Lepisosteus oculatus: one gene and its partner. The protein of the gene in region 1 purifies or fractionates together with the protein of each later gene. This does not show direct contact. Links are inferred from orthologs where the notes say so. Each region holds a gene or a part of one and is shown on either strand. Other genes may lie near its edges. The genes, in order: sarcoplasmic/endoplasmic reticulum calcium ATPase 2 and pln1.

Region 1 (8,293 bases):
TGTCGTCGCCATTCCCCGGAAGCGTGGCTTCTTCCCAGCGGTGTCAACCGTCGGATCTGCAAGAGCAGCCTCAAACAGGGCACACACGCCCGCGCCCATGTTCTCGGAAGGCTCTGCTCATCTCCTCGCCGCCGGCACTGAAACACCGGCTTCCTTGGTATGGCCATTATTTTTAGCCTTCCTGATTTATCAATGCCGTTTGCCAACACCCGACAGTACAAGTGTAGCAAAGGCAAACATTTGCTGCTAGACGCCAGTTCGTTCGACAAGCCCACTCTGACAGCCTCCTTGCACAGGGAAACCAAATTAGTGTTCGGGCTCCTGGCCTTGTGATGGGATGACTCACTTCTAACTCCTTACATCTGCAAAGAGGCTTTCATGCCAGAGCATCACACCCCTCCATCAGTGTCCCCAGTCACCATCCTGGTGCGCCAGTTTGAAGGCTGTGGTCCAGATGGAAGAGCACCACCACCTGGTCCACTCAACACCTGCCGCTCAGGGGTCCCACCCCAGCACTGCCCAGGCCCAGGACCCATGCTCTGTGAAGTTCAGTCACTATATTCGTTCACAATTAAAATGACACGTATCCTCAGTAAACTGACAAACGAATGAAGGCGGCAGGTGGGAATAGTATTGACGCAAAACAGAGAAACCAGCCGACGACGGCCCATCCCTGAATATAAACCACTGACTCCGCCCCACGCCAATAAACAAGGGCGCAATTTTCATTTTTCGGCCAACTAAGCAAACCTACATTAACCTCACATTTTGAAGTGACCACTTGTATTACAATACAAGCATCATCAGGAGATTTGTCAAGTCCATTAAGCCAAGAAAGTATTTCCTGGTAAGTTTTTTTTAACACAGAGGACTTATTTAACACTACTAGCTCAGCTGTCATACCTGAAGATCAAATCTCTGAACATCCAACATGATGGCTACACTCCCTTGCTTATACCTAACCTGGCCTATTCACACCTCAGCCAAGTACTTTGAATATTAACAGCCACAGACGTGGGCGGTTTAAAAAACTAGGTTAGGATCTTAATACCTTGACTGGAAACTGGTCTAACACATTAATGGCACCAGGTTCTCTAGAGTGACATTACGTTTACAGTGTTACAGTAGGCATACCACTGGAAAAAGGTTTTAAAGTTCACTCAGGGACAACGTAACTTGCGAAGATTTAGGCTTAAAAGTTTTAAGGCCTATATTTGGGCATTTCTGACTGCATAAGGAACGGCTGATGTTTAAGCAATAAATCTATACTGCCACAGAAGTTTCCAAATAAGAATAAATCTCAACAAAGGACAAAATCCCTCATCGCCACAGTAAGTATCCTTCCAGACTCATGCAAAAGGCTGTGATAAATAAATTACTAGTAGATTAGGGCAGTGTAGCAGAGTGGGTGTGTTTCTTCTTTACTGACACGCTGCGGGTTCGAGTCACTGCTGGTGCAACTTGAGTGAGGTATCTGACCCCAGTTGCTCCAGTCCTCCCAGCTGTAGAAGTAGGGACCAGCATTGCTGGGGGGGGGGATTCCTGCAAAGGACTGGCCTCCTATCCTGGACTACTCCTCAAAACTACACAACTCATACCTGAGCCCATCCTGAACTTGACCTTTTGACCTTAGGCAAACGACGAGAACCAGGTACTGAGGTTAAACTGAATACCCAAATATCTGTCAGGAAGAAGCATGCGCAGTTAATAAGTGATAGCTAGACAAGGACTACACTCTCCTCGACTCATTCTAGAGTTCCTACACAAGGAGGAAAAGGTGCAAAGAGCATCAAAGTAAAACTGCACTCAGATACATGCAAATTATGCACGCCAGCATTTGCTTCAACATAAAAAGTAAGATGTCCACCAGTTCTGGGCCCAATTCATTTACAGTGAAACATTTAGAGCTGCCTGCTCAGGTCAAACACCTGCAAGGCAGCCAAAGTAAGTTTCAACAGCATGCCGGGAGGTTGCATCGGGAAAATACCCAGGACAGTTTGGTGATCTGTGCCTCATTTTTTTTAATTGTAAGGGACTGATACTGGGTGAAGGCTTCGAGGCGCATACTTACAAAGGATATACAAGCTGCCAGTAGAAGAATTCTGACTAATAAATCTTCGAACTGCTCGACAACGAGTTCCCATAAAGATTTTCCTGCGGACAGAATAAACAGACAAATTCAGAGTGGAATAAAACGGAATGAGCCCCTCCAAAAAAAAAAATGGGGGGTTTTAAAATATTAATAAAACGGCGGTGCTGCTTACCTTCCTCGGCTGGCAGTTCTGGGGTTGCGTGTTTCCAAGGAACAAACCAGAAAGCGACCGGGGGAGGAGGGGGGGGGGAGAGGAAGAGGAGAGAGTTACACAGGCAACAAAAGATCAAAATCTCCGTTTACACAGCAACGCTAATAAGATGTGCGCTTTGTTGACATTTGAAACACGACCCAGGGCGGCCGTGCATGAGGACCCCCCGCTCCCCGCAGCGTCTTCGGGCGCAGTGGCAGGCGTGTGCCGAGCCGTGCTCCGCGTCGCTACGAGGAAGTGGGTGTCCACGCCGAGGACACGGGGAATCGGCGGTGTTGCAATGCACAGGGCTGGTTCAGCCGAGTCATGCGCAGGGGCGAAGTGAGTACGGGCGGCCCGCAAGCCAGCCCGGCGCCGCCGGTGAGATGAAGCCGAGAGGCGGCCGGAGCTGTTCGCATCCAACCCCCACCTCACCTGCGCTTTCGCTAGGTCACCGGGCTTGAGACGAGACAGGGAGAAACGTGAGCTGGGAAGCCGAGTCCGAGGCCCTGAGCCGGCTTTTCCCCCAACCCCCCAGCCCGCTGGAACCGGGGAACAGCCGCAGAACAGCCCCCTCCCCTCCGAAATCTTCCGATTCTCACCCACCGGGTCGGTTATCGCACGCATTCAAGGTTAACGGCGAGCTTCCCTCTTTCCCCCGCGATAAGGCGAACGGATTGAAAAACCCACGAGGTTGTACATGATGACGTCAGCCATTTTCACTATCCATTTTTGAGCATGCCGGTTACTGTACTATAACCTGGCTGCATAAGACGGGCCTTGCGTTGCGTAAAAATAAACCACTAACCCCCCCCCCCACACACACACACACAAAAAAAAAAACCAACACATATTTGTATACATAAAAGACTTCTGGAAATGAAACGGCATCACTTACCGTTCGGTCCCCATTTTTCTTTATTCTTTTTCACCTGATCCAAACTCAGCCCTGTGCTCTCATTGACGTTAAAATAGCTATAGACCTCCTCCACAGTCTTTGTGTGCGCGTTCTCCATGGTGGAAATGCTCCCCTTGTGAAGACACTTTTTTTCTTTCTCTCTCTCTCTCTCACTTTGTGGACTCGGCCACCTTTCAGTCCGTGTCAATTTCGCCGCACGTCCCTTTCGCGAAGGAAGGAGAAGAAAAAAAAAACAAAACAAAAAGGCGTAAAATACTCTAAAACTAGGCGTTTACATACAGAAAACGTCCGGTGGGGTGAGAAAAAAAAATAATAATATCTAGAATTTATGTAGAAATCCCGGCACTTATGGAGAACGAAGAAAAACGATGCGTGTGTGTGTGACTCCCCCCTCCGCCAGCTTCTCGTCCAAAATGTTTTTTTTGATGCGCGTGTTTTGCCGACTTAAGTCACGCTTAAAATTTAAAAAAGAGAAAAAAAAAACAACCGATCCCCTCCCCAGGCCACTTTGCTTAAGGTGTCTCCTTTATTCCCAGAGGAGCCGGCTGCAACAGTCGCCCTCCGTGCCACACGCTGCAATGGCCAGTGCACTCCTCAGGCTGCCGTGGGTGCGCGTCTGCCCGTGTCACAGCCGCTCTCTCGTCAGTGGCTCAGCCCGTCCAGCGCCACTCGCGTTTTATTGAAAGTGCCTCACTCGCTGCTGCCCCTCTCGCCTGCTCCGCATGTGGAGTGCGCTCATTGGATGGAGGGAGTCCGGAAATCTGGTGGGGCTGTGTGTGTGTGCGCTCTTCTCGTCGCTCTCCGGCCCGTCTTTTTTCTTTTCTGAAACTCGCTGCGATCAGCTGATCTCCACGCTGCGCCCGGCTCACGCCGCCCCTCGGATCCGGGAGCGGTGACGCAGACGCGTTTGCGTTAACCTTTTCGGCGCAGGGGAAGGGGGGGGGGGACCCTTTGGCGATTTGTCTGGTTTTGTGAAGTCGTGCACTCTCCCACCCCCTCCTCCTCCACACACACGCTGCCTTCCCCTGGGGCACAATAAGATGTCTCCACTCGCAGATCTACAGGCAACGCCACAATGTGCATGTATTTGAACTGGGGGGGGGGGTCGATTCCAGTTTTAATTCCAAGGTGCTGCCGCTGACCCCAAAAAAATATGTTTTGGGAAACGACGGAGCTCGAGTTCAGATGCTTTGGCAGGGGAGTTTAATTTGTTTGCCATTTTTCTCTGAATAGCCTCCGTTTTTGGCCTTGGAGGTGATTAAAGACTTTCGCTCCTATCATCCTTCAAACCTAGAATGGTGTGTGTGTGTGTGGTGGGGGGGGGGGGTCATTTGCTGGGATTAGCGAACGCAAATGTCATGCTGTCATGCTATTACAGCCAGCTAGAGTTATGCGCCGGGTGTCAGCCTTCTCTTTGCTTATGTTACAGCTCAGGCTGCGAGGTTTTACCGAGAAGCTGTTTTCCAGATACCCAAGTAGTTATAAACCCGGGGTCAAAAGTACGCGACAGCGCTGTGATTCGCGAAATGTAATTAGGAGGTATTTACACTTCTTGCCTCGTTTTTCTGGAAATGGTCATATGCGGTCGGTCCTGACGTGTATTGCCCCTTTGCTGGCGTGCAGGAACAATGTAATGCAATGTGCTGGAACAGCGCGCTAAAGTAAACGCTTTTATCGTATTACATCAGTGTCAGCTCATGTCGCTGCAGTCCCCAGACCCATTCAAATACACCCTATTCACGTGGGTGACTTTCACACCTGCACGCTGGAGTTCAGTTGGACAGGGATCAGTGCCACCCTGTTGGATCGGGGAAATGGGAGAGAAATAGTGTACCCGATGCTAAAGAGAGCTCATTCACCTGCTAGACCCCCACTCCCACTGACACAAAACCACCAGGTTTATACCAGCTTCCTGTTCTACAGCAACTAAATTAATCCCATGACCAGCAGTTATTTTTTCCTGTGATGTTGGAGTGCAATTGTAATATAAAAGAGCTCTTCTTAGTTTCAGGAGTGTTGAACAGGCAATAGAGCAGATGATCACTCCTTGCCACAGATGGATGGACAGGGAGTTACCCCACCAGCTGGTCCCCACTTCTACAATTGGAAGGACTGGAGTAACTGGGGGTAGAGTTCTTCATTAAGCTACAACAGCAGTGTCTGCAGCGGGGACTCGAACCCACAGCCTCTCACTCAAGACTTGAAAGGCTCCCCCACCATGGAAACCTGGGGTATGACAGAGAGTCTTCCTGCACTTTTTCCCCCTGGAGCTCTGCCTGAGAGGCTCAACTCTTTACAGTTTCAATAAGTTTATTGTGTTTCCAACTAGACATACTTTACTTGATCACTGAAAGAAGCAAGATTTAGTAGTCAAAGTATATTTTCGCACACGATTTGAACAACTTCTGCACACTGCGGTATCAAACTCTGCTGGTTACCAGCTACCACATCTTCACTGGCTACACTAGAGCCACCACGTGTTTTAAAGTGTGATAAACCAGCTGTTTCAAGATCTCCATTCTAAGTGCTTGAAAATGTCTCTTGCACTCATGAAAGTACACTTAAACCCTGTCCCCCCTCTCCAAAATGCACAGACACCTCTGCAGGTCCCGTCCTAACTGACCCATCTGAGACACAATAAAGAATGCTGTATAGGGAAAAGGTCGTTACTAATTGTTTTTTTTTACAATTTTTGCATCCCAAGAACGTGCAGCTAAATAGCAGATGAATGCAGAGAACGGTATCGGCAAACCTTCCAGTGAGCAGAAAAATGTAAAAAGGCAGGCTTTAGAAAATGGAAGCAGCTCAGCACAGCTCTATTTTTATTGAATGTTCCACTTAGCTCACGCTCATCACCTGGACTTGTTTCCTGCTCGGTTCACTAGTTACTTTCACAGACTCATGAACTGGGTGGAGGAGAGTGTAGACTGTCTGGATTGAAATCGTGTGAAAAGCTTTCTCCTTTTTTTCTCTCCATAAAAAGCTCTATGGATCCGCGGCTGATCTATAAAACATTATTGTGCTGTTCTGTCCCTTTACCTCCAATGAAACGAGGACCTCCTGGGATTATTGAGCCCCTGAAGGCTGCAATGTACAAGGCTGACGTTAGATCATGCAGGAGAGACCCGAGGGTCTCTCTCCTAATGAAGTCATTTGTCTGGAAACCCCAGCTGCCCACAGGAGCACCCAGTTCTTTCTTTTCACCTCATGGTTAGTGATGACAGTACGGCTGACAGACAAGGCCCAAGCAGGTGCTTTAGGAAAGCAAGGTTTTTTTTTTAAGTGCCTGCACACAGAATCATGGCAGCATGTAGTCACAACTGCTCTTTACTGCATGAAGATTTACTCTGGGTCACTCCAATTAAAACCCCACTAAGCTGATATTAGCAATGAAGGCTAATTTTATTTAATACCACAGACTGTGTTCCAAATGATTGTAATTAGAGAACAACTGCATTTCACACTGCATCGTTGTAATAAAAATGTTAATTATCTCGCATGTTACCATAAATAGTGTTGTACATGTTTGTGTTTCCATTCAGTGATATGCAGTACAGTACCCCTGTCTTGGTGAACATGAAATGGACATAACAAAATAATGATAGTAATTACAGAACTAGTGATAGATGACGAATTAATGCTGCAATTGTTCATGAAACACTGAGATCAGCAGTTTGTAGAGTGCATTGCTTGTCACAGAGCAGCATCAATCTGAAGTCCTTTTATGTGTTTAATGAGTCACTTGCAAAATTGGTGAAACAAGACATTCCTAAAGCATTCCATAATTAGAAAACACCTCTAACCTGGTTGTCTTCTCTGCGTCTGTGGGGCCATGTGACAGCTGAACAACTGTTTATGAAATGAATCCGCTGTCCGAAAACAAGGCCAAAAGTGTAATACGCTCTTGTCCCATTTTGTAACATTTCTTTTCATCTCAGAACTGTAAGAATTTCTCATTTACTACTTATGCTATTCCCAGTAAAATAATGGATCTTAAGTTAGAACACAGGAGCACATGGGGAAAGAAGGAGCACAATTCTAGGAAAGAAGGAGAGGACTTATATACTGCGGGGAAAAATCACAATTAAAATTCAAATAAGGTCATTAACCATGCAAGATAGCAAGATGTGCCACAAACCACTAGTTTGGCAAATTATGGAGGAAATAATGTCACCCCGGGCTCTGTTACCTCTCACTGCGTTAGAGGCGATCAAATCCATGAATGATGACATTAATAAATAATCCCTCAGATGAGGAGATGAGGGTGACAGAGTTCACGCAGCCGCCAGGTGATGGTTTAATCCCACTGGAGCAGGAATAAAGCTTTGCAGGGGTATATACCAGAGACAGCAGAAGGAAAGTAGAGATGATGTAATTACCGGTAACCTCTTGCACTACAGGATTAAAAGGTAAGTGACGGTGATATGTAACAGAAAGCAGCAGCTACCTTAATGATAAGCTTTGCTCAAGACACTTTTTTTTTCTTTCTTCTGAAGTCAAGAAAGTGGTCAAAAATGGTTATTTAAAAAAAATGTTTATTGAGAAGTATTAATTTCCTCCAGGTGTGAAGCTTTAATAACTCACATCTGACCGTAATATGAAAAAAATGTTACCTTCAGAGAAATCGTTTAATGTCAGTGTGTCAAAGGGTTTGGCAGATAAGTGGGCCTTTTACCTGACCAAAAGGTTTTCAAGTAAGCTACAATCCAAAAGTGATTAATTCTTCGTTGCATTTGCTGTGTAACGTATAAATAGAAACACAAATTACATTTTCAAACCTGAAACGTGTTTTTCTAATAGATCAAATACTGTATATAGAGCAATTAAGGGACTGGCGTTCAACATTATAATTTAATTGTAGTTAGTTACGTAGAACCCTCACGCAGTCTCTAGGAAAAACTAAAAATTAGGCTTACTTCTTTCACTTCAAAATATATACACACAATATTCGGATTTTTTCTGTCACCTAAGATATCATGTGTCTGGATCACAACCTGTAAGTGACCAGTTTTCAGCAAGTGTCTCCTCCAGGGTTCCCTCTACTGGTAGTCAGTGATAGTACAGATATACGATACAGTACACCATGACAGTC
Region 2 (8,293 bases), on another chromosome or scaffold:
GAATCTGCGTCTCTACATTTTGTTCCTCACTCTCTGTGGCACTGTTCTGGCATCATTGGCTATAGAAATTAGATTATGTACACAAAGCTGAACAAGCTGTGCACTTACTGCCTTTGAATGACTTTGAAGCTGTCTGCGTGACTGACACGACACTGTCCAGAGCAGTGATGAGTTGTGGACGCAAGATATCTTGCTTGGTCCTGCTATGCAGTTGATGTTATTCTTAGTTATGACCTTTGCATATCACAGTCTGACATCCCATTTTACTGCAGCCAACCTGGTTCCATCATGCTAAATACCGATAGTCCTTAGGGGATGGGGATACAGCTGGGCAGGTCATGTCAGAGAAGAATCAATTCACCAAAGAGGTGCTGACTGTAATCAACCTGCAGAAATTTAGTCTAGAACATGTTTATGAGTACAGCTAATTACTAAACAGACAGGAAGGGCATATACGTTGAAACACACACCCATTGTCAGAGACAAACAAGGGGTCTGTGAGTCCAGAAAGCAGCTATGTAACAGCCAGAGCAGATACAGAGTTTATTGTTGTCATTCTCCACATTGCAGTCCTCACAGTAAACCTTGCCGATAGACAGGGTGCTGGGATTCCATGGCTGTGTTAATCCTTAGTTTCTAGTAACAAGATCGCCGTGTTCTCATTGTTGACTGGAATACAAAATGTGCCTTGCTTAGCTTCACTTCAAACGTTACTTTTTAAAATATTGAAGTTTCCCAACAACTTGCTTGGGTCTGCGGTCTGTAAAACGGTCTCTGCGGTCTGTAAAACGTAATCAAGCTATGCATGTTTGTACATCTGGACACACAGCATTTCTCTGCCTTAAGATTTCACAGATTTATTCAAGCCGCTCTTGAAACACTGGTGACTGATGCAGTGTGCTTCTGTTGCAATAGTTATTGAAGAGTGCTTTGGCCTATTTTCTGTGGTTATTAAATTTGGAAACAGTTGCTGAAATAGGGCAACTGTATTAACATTTAATGTTTTATCATTTTATTCATTATTATTTTAAGGGGAACTGCAGTCCAAATTTCTCAGACCGGTAATTAAATCTTGGTAACAAAATAAATTAATTTACAGCATCGCAAAATTGAACAAATTCCCAGTTAAGCAGAAAACAGTGATCTTTGTGACAGTACTGTATATTGTCTCAAACCCCTGGGCGAGTTTGCGCAAATTGCGAAGTGAAGTGGCCCTTTCTGCTCACTAGTCACTGTAAGGACTAATGTACTGTGATGTAAAAGCAAATAAGTACAGGTTGTGCAGCACACAAGGAATGAAGAAATGTTCCAATGTGATCTACATGCACAGTTAACAAGTGAGTAGTATTTGTTGACAAAACCATCTCTATGTCAAGAGCAATATTTCTTTTGTATTAAAAGAGATGTATTCACAGGCCTGCTTGTTTACAATATAATAGGGCTGGTTCACCTCAGTGGAAATTTGGTTGCCTCATTCTGAATCGCGGTGTTTTGTGATGGGTCTACTTGTTACTGTGTGCATCTTATTGTGGTTTGAAATGCACTCATAAATGCCATTTCTTTCTAACCCCAAAAGTGACACGGTACTTTAATAAAAATACTCAACGTAATGAGGGTGTAACAGGTAGGTTTGTAGTTAAAAGTCTCAAAGAATAGCTTTTAGATTTTTAGTAGATTTCTAATTCTACTGAAAGTTATTTATTACAAAAAGGACCCGTAGAAAATGTTTTAAAGTACAGACAAAAGTACAAAAAAGGTTTTGCAGTGTAAAAATAGTATGTTGTGAACATTTCAGTTTGAAACAGACTGATTTCATGAAGTGACACATTACTTTCAGGGATCATTTCTATAGTTTGCAGTAAAAATATTTATTGAAGGATAAGTCTGTTTTCCAAATTCATATATAATTTCAGAATCGCAGAAGGGATATTTTTCCATATTAATCTGCCTTTCTGAAAAAGATCATTGTAGGCTTATGTGAGATCTTGGTGTACATTTGTTTTTGGGCAGCAACTTGGTAATATTTACTTTATAAATGGGCAAATACAGAGACTTTAATTTTCCCTTACAGAAATATTTTTGCTTGAGATCTGCAGTCCAAACAAATCAGCATAATCATATATTGAAACAAAGATAAAGAATATAGTCTCATGCACTGCTGATCTAACGAACTACTGGATAGATGATACAACAGTACTGTATACCGGAGTCTAAAGGGAAAATAGTGCTCTACCATTGTATTAATTAATTAATTTAAGAAATATGTGCAGTTATCAGTCTCATTTTCTATATATTATGACAACCAGCTGCCCCACATGCATAGTAAATAAATGTTAGTTTCTATTTGAACCAATCACTTGACAAACCCGATAAACATTTGTAGTGATGGATTCAGACTGAACAACCATAACCTGAATGCTGTAAGTTAGATAACTCATGAGGCGGCTTGTTTGTAAGGTTGTGCCGACAGTATCAAAACAGTGTTGTTGTGGACATTATATCCTTGACGTTGTTAAGAGCTTTGAGCAACTTGGGCTTCAGAACTCGGTCTGACTTTGAAAAGCAGGGAAGGCATCGACAAGCAAGACCGAGAATTTCCAATCAGTCAGCAGGAAGGCTTCTCATACAGTTGTAATTTAAGCGGTTTGTGACCACCACTCTCAGTAAGTTAAATAAATCTAATCTTTTTGATAATGTGCCTTACTACAGAACCATATTTGTCTCTTAATAACTAGTTTAAAATGACAAAATGCCTCATATACATGTGAATTTTAAATTAAGAACGTGTACAGTCCTTAAAAGCCAATTTATAACTGCTAATATAACAGTATAAAATTCATGTTAAACTTGTCAACTCAAAGCACTAAGTGCAGGTTAAACAAAAATTCACTGACAGAATGCTGTTTAGGCTTACATAATATTCTCAGTGCCAGGCGTTACTGGCTATAATATTTTCTACAATTTTAAAAAGTTAGAAATTCTGAATTTTTTCATGTAAAATATTTTTACAGGATTAGCAACAAGTACCTGTGATGATCAGGTGTTTGTAATAATCCTTAAATAATGCTGAATATGTTTTCAAGGATTGGTTCCCTTGAAATAGTAGCACTTTACTTTTAGGTTCATCAAAGACTAGACACAGAACCAACAACCAACATTTCCAGCATAACCTAAGAAGGAAATCTTCTAAAACCGAATGTAAATTCATAAACAAAATGAAGAAAGACCTTTTTTGGCTGATATCCCATGAAAATAAGTCATCTTAAGGCAGACAGTAACGTACGGCTGGCCGCAGTTGTGAGCTGTTGTTTCCATGATTGCATTAGTAAGTAATCTCTAGGGTCACTCTGCTTCATGCACTGAACTGACTGTCCTTTATCTTTAGAGTGTGACCTGCTAGGGAATTATCTCCCCCTCTCAAAGGAGATCACGCTGCAGGACTCCTGATGACGGTGAAGCCAAAAGAAATAAAAAGACCTGGCAATGCCAGCAATAGTGACATGGCTTTTTTATTGGCATTCGCTTTGAAACCTTTGTTAATCAAGTTTTTGTTCAAAATAGAGTTTCTTTAGATGTTATCTGTTCCCTATTGCATGTCGCATCATTCCAGTCTTTAGTTTCATACATAAAAGGGCCAGCGCAGTTTTCTGGGTAACATAATTTTCCAAATGTACTGCTGTGTATAAAGGACAATTGCAGAGGAACATACTGTAGCTTTCACAGCAGTGCATCTTTAACCTTTGCTTGCTTGAAGGGATCTTTTGTCTGAAATACAGACATCTGCATAAATGCAAATTCAAGAGAGACCACTGTGTCTTTGATGCAAATACAGATACTTTCATATTGAACTGTAACAGGACTAGTACAATGGTGTGGGTTTTCAGATTTGCTTTCTGCAAAATAGTTTTCTCTGTGGATCTTTATTTAATGCATGAGGCTGCAGTTACATATGGGAGGCAACAGCCTCAGAAATTTTTCACAACTTCTTATTTGCAACATATTATCGGCACTATTTTTTATCGCTATTCTTTTTAGGAGTTCTGTTTTGTTACAGACTTTATTGAAATTAGCTGTCGTTACAATGTTGTCTGAATGAATGAATGTCTATTTTAAATGGGTCAGTAAGTCTGTTCTTTTATATCATGAAAGTAATAAAAAATAAAATAAATATATTTTGTAAATAAAATGTGAAACACGTATGGTTTGTTATATAAACTATAATGCATTAATGTTGTAAAGTTAAAGCACGCAAGAATAAACATTCTGTTCGTATAGTTTTCGGATAGAAAATTAAAACCCAGTTCTCTAAAGGTTGTTCCTTTTGTATATTCTCATGGTTAGCCTTAAACATTTCATGATCCCCTTTACAGTTTCATAGCCTTCAGTTTAAATGCCATGCTTACTCTTAATATAAATATTTGTAGCTGCAGTTCATATTCAGACTGGTTTGACTCCACGTTTTTCGGTGATAATTAAGGAGCATCGGTTTTTGTTAATTCCTTGAAGAGACAAAGATTTGGAAAGCCTATCTTGGATGAACTGTGATTCACAAAGCTCTAGTTTGAATAATAAAAAAGGTTTTCCAGCTCATTAAATACAAAGTCCATATAATGTATTAAAATATATCTCGTTGACAGGGGAATTGCTATTTTTGGACAAATCCATTTAAAAGCATTTGCTTTGTTACATCATATGAAAGGTATGTGATGGTAAATGGAAATCTGATTAGTGTAATTGCAGCCATTTGTCTACCTGTAGATCTCCTAACAATACGTTTAACATTTTTAGCAAAATCCATGATCTTTTACAGAAATGTTTTGTTCTGAACAACTAGGTAATTTTATCGAAGGAGATCACTCACAATCTAGAGAGTCTTGATGAATATAAAATGTAACAGTGAGCTTCACCAGCATCGGTTATCCATCACCACTGACCTCTAATTGTTCCAGTAAGTGGTTGCTGGCCCAACGTCCAGTGTGTGTGGTTCTACAAATGAATAAGGAGAGGTTATATGACTTCAGTTATTAAGACCTTGATTTTTCAGTGTAAGCCTCTTGTGTCTCCAGAGGTATTCCCTGCTCTGTCCTGCATTTCCGTCTCTCAGCCGGAGGGACTGTGGGGCCACAAGCCCTGGCAGGCAGTACGTGTGGTGTGAGGAGGATGGCTTGTCTTACCTCCTGCTCTGGCCGACCGATCGCGGACACACAGCTCAGCGGACTGTGGGAAAGCGCCCTGGTCCAACAGACCCAGAGGTTCTCTGGCTGCTTGTCTGACTATGTCACAGAGTTTATGGGAACAGAACCAGGAGGCGGGGGAGAGCAGCGCCCCGAGTAAAGGAGGGGTTTTGCTGTTTATCCAGCCCCCTGGCAACACGGATTGGACACAGTCTGTCAGAGCTGGCAGCCAGCTCTGGCTCCAGGTGATCACAGAGGGACTCTTTCTCTCACGACCTGTTTGCTGTTGCCATACATACCTCATTTTAAGAGTCTGGTGCTATTTTCCTTTGGAACAGGATCAGTGCGTACTCAACCATTTGCATTTCATTTGGTATGATTGCTACTACTGCTAGGGTTAGCTCTGACAAAGAAGTTCAGATGTTGCCATGAGATCAAATAAGTTGTTCTACTGCTTTCTGTGAGAAAAGCACCTCAGGGCTTCTGTCCACCTGTTTTGAAAAAGTATAACTTAAGTACATTCAATGCAGTATCTTGATTTCACTTGTTATTATTTACAATAAAGTCAATCATTTAAATGCCTGAGTTCCAAAATAAAATTATCTTCTCCAGAAAAGTTTTTTCAGAAGCTAACAACTTGATCTGTTTTTTCTAACATTTATAATATTAATCTGTGCTTGAGTTCGTGAGTTTTTGGAAACGTAAGCAAAAGGGGTTCAACAGCCTGTCCTGGAGATGTATAATCTCCCTTTCACGGAATTTAGGTTTTTGCCTTAAATCAATTTCTTGGGGATGTAACCAAGAGCTAAATTAATTAAGCATATCTGTCTGTGTTTAAAGCAATACGTTTCAGTTATATGCTGCTGATAAAGCATTTTCAAAATATTTTTAGGATTATAAAAACTTTTAAAGGGTTAGCACTAAGACAACTATAACTTGTCACTAATGTTTGTGTTCGGCAGCAGTTCTTTCTGATACACAGTGATGTTACTGATATGAACTGTCTAACGTCAGGGAGTCCTGCCTGCCAAAAATCTAGTTACATAGAATGTAAAAATATCATCCTAAAAAGTATTTTGCATAAATCATAGAATATCTCATATCTTTGTATTTGACTATGGATGTACAGTATTATAGCCATTCTTCACTTTTGAAAACATGTTTTAATATTTCTGAAGCCTCTGTATTAGTTGTCAATCTTTGTAAACAACTAGCTCTGACGTGTCACTATCGGCCCTGAGTCTTTGTTATTCTAAATGTTAGACTAGAGCACATAGGAGATTGGTGTTGACCTGCTTGTGTCGACTTCAGTATTCCAGTGGGTTGGTAAAGTAAAAGGCCTCCCTCTCTGTGTTTCCCCTTTCTTGTAAATCAGTGTACATATGCAAACATGGTGCCAACAAACCTCTAGAGATTTTCAGTCACAAAGCTCTTAAGCAAAAGGAGTTTGCTATTCCAGCTTACACTTCCTTAGATGGAGTTTAGCTGGCCTCTCTTAAGTCAAAACAAGTTCCAAAATCACATTTTTAGAATGACTTGCTCGACGCACTTGGAGTAGAAGGGCAGAACTCAAACATGGGTACATAACAGGAGGATAAACTACTCTGTTTTCTCTGGCTAGAGCACTGCTGTTGTTGGCAGGCAGTGGTCTTTCGCATTGTCCCAGCTATGCTAACACACATGAGAGGAATTCTTTTTGCCGTCTTTATAATGGAAGACCAGTTGCATAATGTTCGAGCTACAATGAATGAGAAGGTGACAATTTAATGCAATGCGTAATCCGAGTTGCACACATTAAGTCCTAGAGCGTTGTCTTACAGTCCCCCCTTCGACTGAGAGCTGGTACATTACGAGTCTTGACAAGTGAGCTGCTCTAACTCCTGAAGCACCTCCACTGAACAATACTCATTCATTCTACAAAACCCTTATTGCCCCTTATTTTTATGTTTTCTAAGCATGATGTTTGTATTTGTTTTCAATTAAAGTGTGAAAAGGACCTTTTGCTTTGCAAAAAAAAAGACTTACAGTTAATGCTAAACAAGTACTTATACTAGAAGGAGGTTTGACTTGTTTTTACTGTACCTTACTTACCGTTAAAAAAAAAAGCCTTAAGAGTGTTTCTTATTGTGCCATTCAGACATGTTAATGATGTTCTGACTTTGCCCTGGTGTTATTTTAGACGTTTAAGTGACAAATGGTGAATAATGAGTTGTTTTACCACTGCTATTACTGTAATGAAGGTGCACGGCTAAGGCGATCTTGTATTGTATAGCTTTTAAATCATCACTGGATGCTCTTTAGAGTCCTCAGTCTCCCTCGCTCAGCTGACTCAGCTCAGGACGAGAGAGAGAACCCGCCAGCTGGATGAAATGATATTTTGCAACATGGTGTTAGGTGTTCGTTAAGCCATACGTTCTGTTTATTCCCAGGGAAACAATAATAAAACTAATACCAAATAAACACGCATATGCAGTATACACCTGTCACAGCTAATTAATAAAGTGGGTTAAAAACAGCTGTTCCAAAGGTTTTTAAGATGGGCAGTAGGCTTAAGCAAGGGAGATGCAAGCAGTTGTTTGAATAGCGGTAAAACATTAAAGATACTGTATGTAATTAAAATTGTATTTAATATATTGTAACATCTCTGGATTTAGTGGATTGTAATTACAATAGGTCTGGAGCTTGGTTTACATAGCTTTGTTTATTGTAATGTTCTGTGATTCACACTGCTCTGCTGTAACTGCAAGCCGTTATTAAAACTGGTTAGACCTAATTTCAGGCTAACTGATGGGTAATTTCAGTATTAAATAAAAGAAAAAATTGTTTTCACAGCTGAACGAGGGGTGCTACCCATGTCTTTACCTTTAGGATGTAATCACTCAGAATTCATTTCTTTCCATACAACTGCTTTTACCAACTTCAGTTTTCAGCCAGGATCTGAGGCTGCAAGGAGGCTTGTTAAAATAGCAATAATCTTGTCTCATCTTTTGTAGACATCAGTTAATCTAGCTCTGCAGTGTTTTCCATTGGAATTAATTTCCTCTTTGCAATAATAGCATTCGACAGCTCAAAGCATGGTATGTGAGGAAAGAAACAGGAAGAAATAGTTGGTTGCTCTG

Evidence for each region.
Region 2: the proteins of sarcoplasmic/endoplasmic reticulum calcium ATPase 2 (region 1) and pln1 purify together in Homo sapiens (affinity purification with western blotting; 4 studies listed by BioGRID). This does not show direct contact. The link is inferred for Lepisosteus oculatus from reciprocal best matches to the Homo sapiens genes ATP2A2 and PLN.

The regions. Positions count from the first base shown.
Region 1 is NC_090717.1:10,109,187-10,117,479, reverse strand, and holds the start of sarcoplasmic/endoplasmic reticulum calcium ATPase 2, read right to left. Parts: upstream 4,005-8,293; 5' UTR 3,299-4,004; coding exon 3,181-3,298; intron 2,283-3,180; coding exon 2,265-2,282; intron 2,155-2,264; coding exon 2,072-2,154; intron 1-2,071.
Region 2 is NC_090697.1:648,956-657,248, reverse strand, and holds the start of pln1 (cardiac phospholamban), read right to left. Parts: upstream 5,346-8,293; 5' UTR 5,175-5,345; intron 4,987-5,174; exon of another isoform or gene 4,862-4,986; intron 1-4,861. UniProt on the Homo sapiens protein: Reversibly inhibits the activity of ATP2A2/SERCA2 in cardiac sarcoplasmic reticulum by decreasing the apparent affinity of the ATPase for Ca(2+).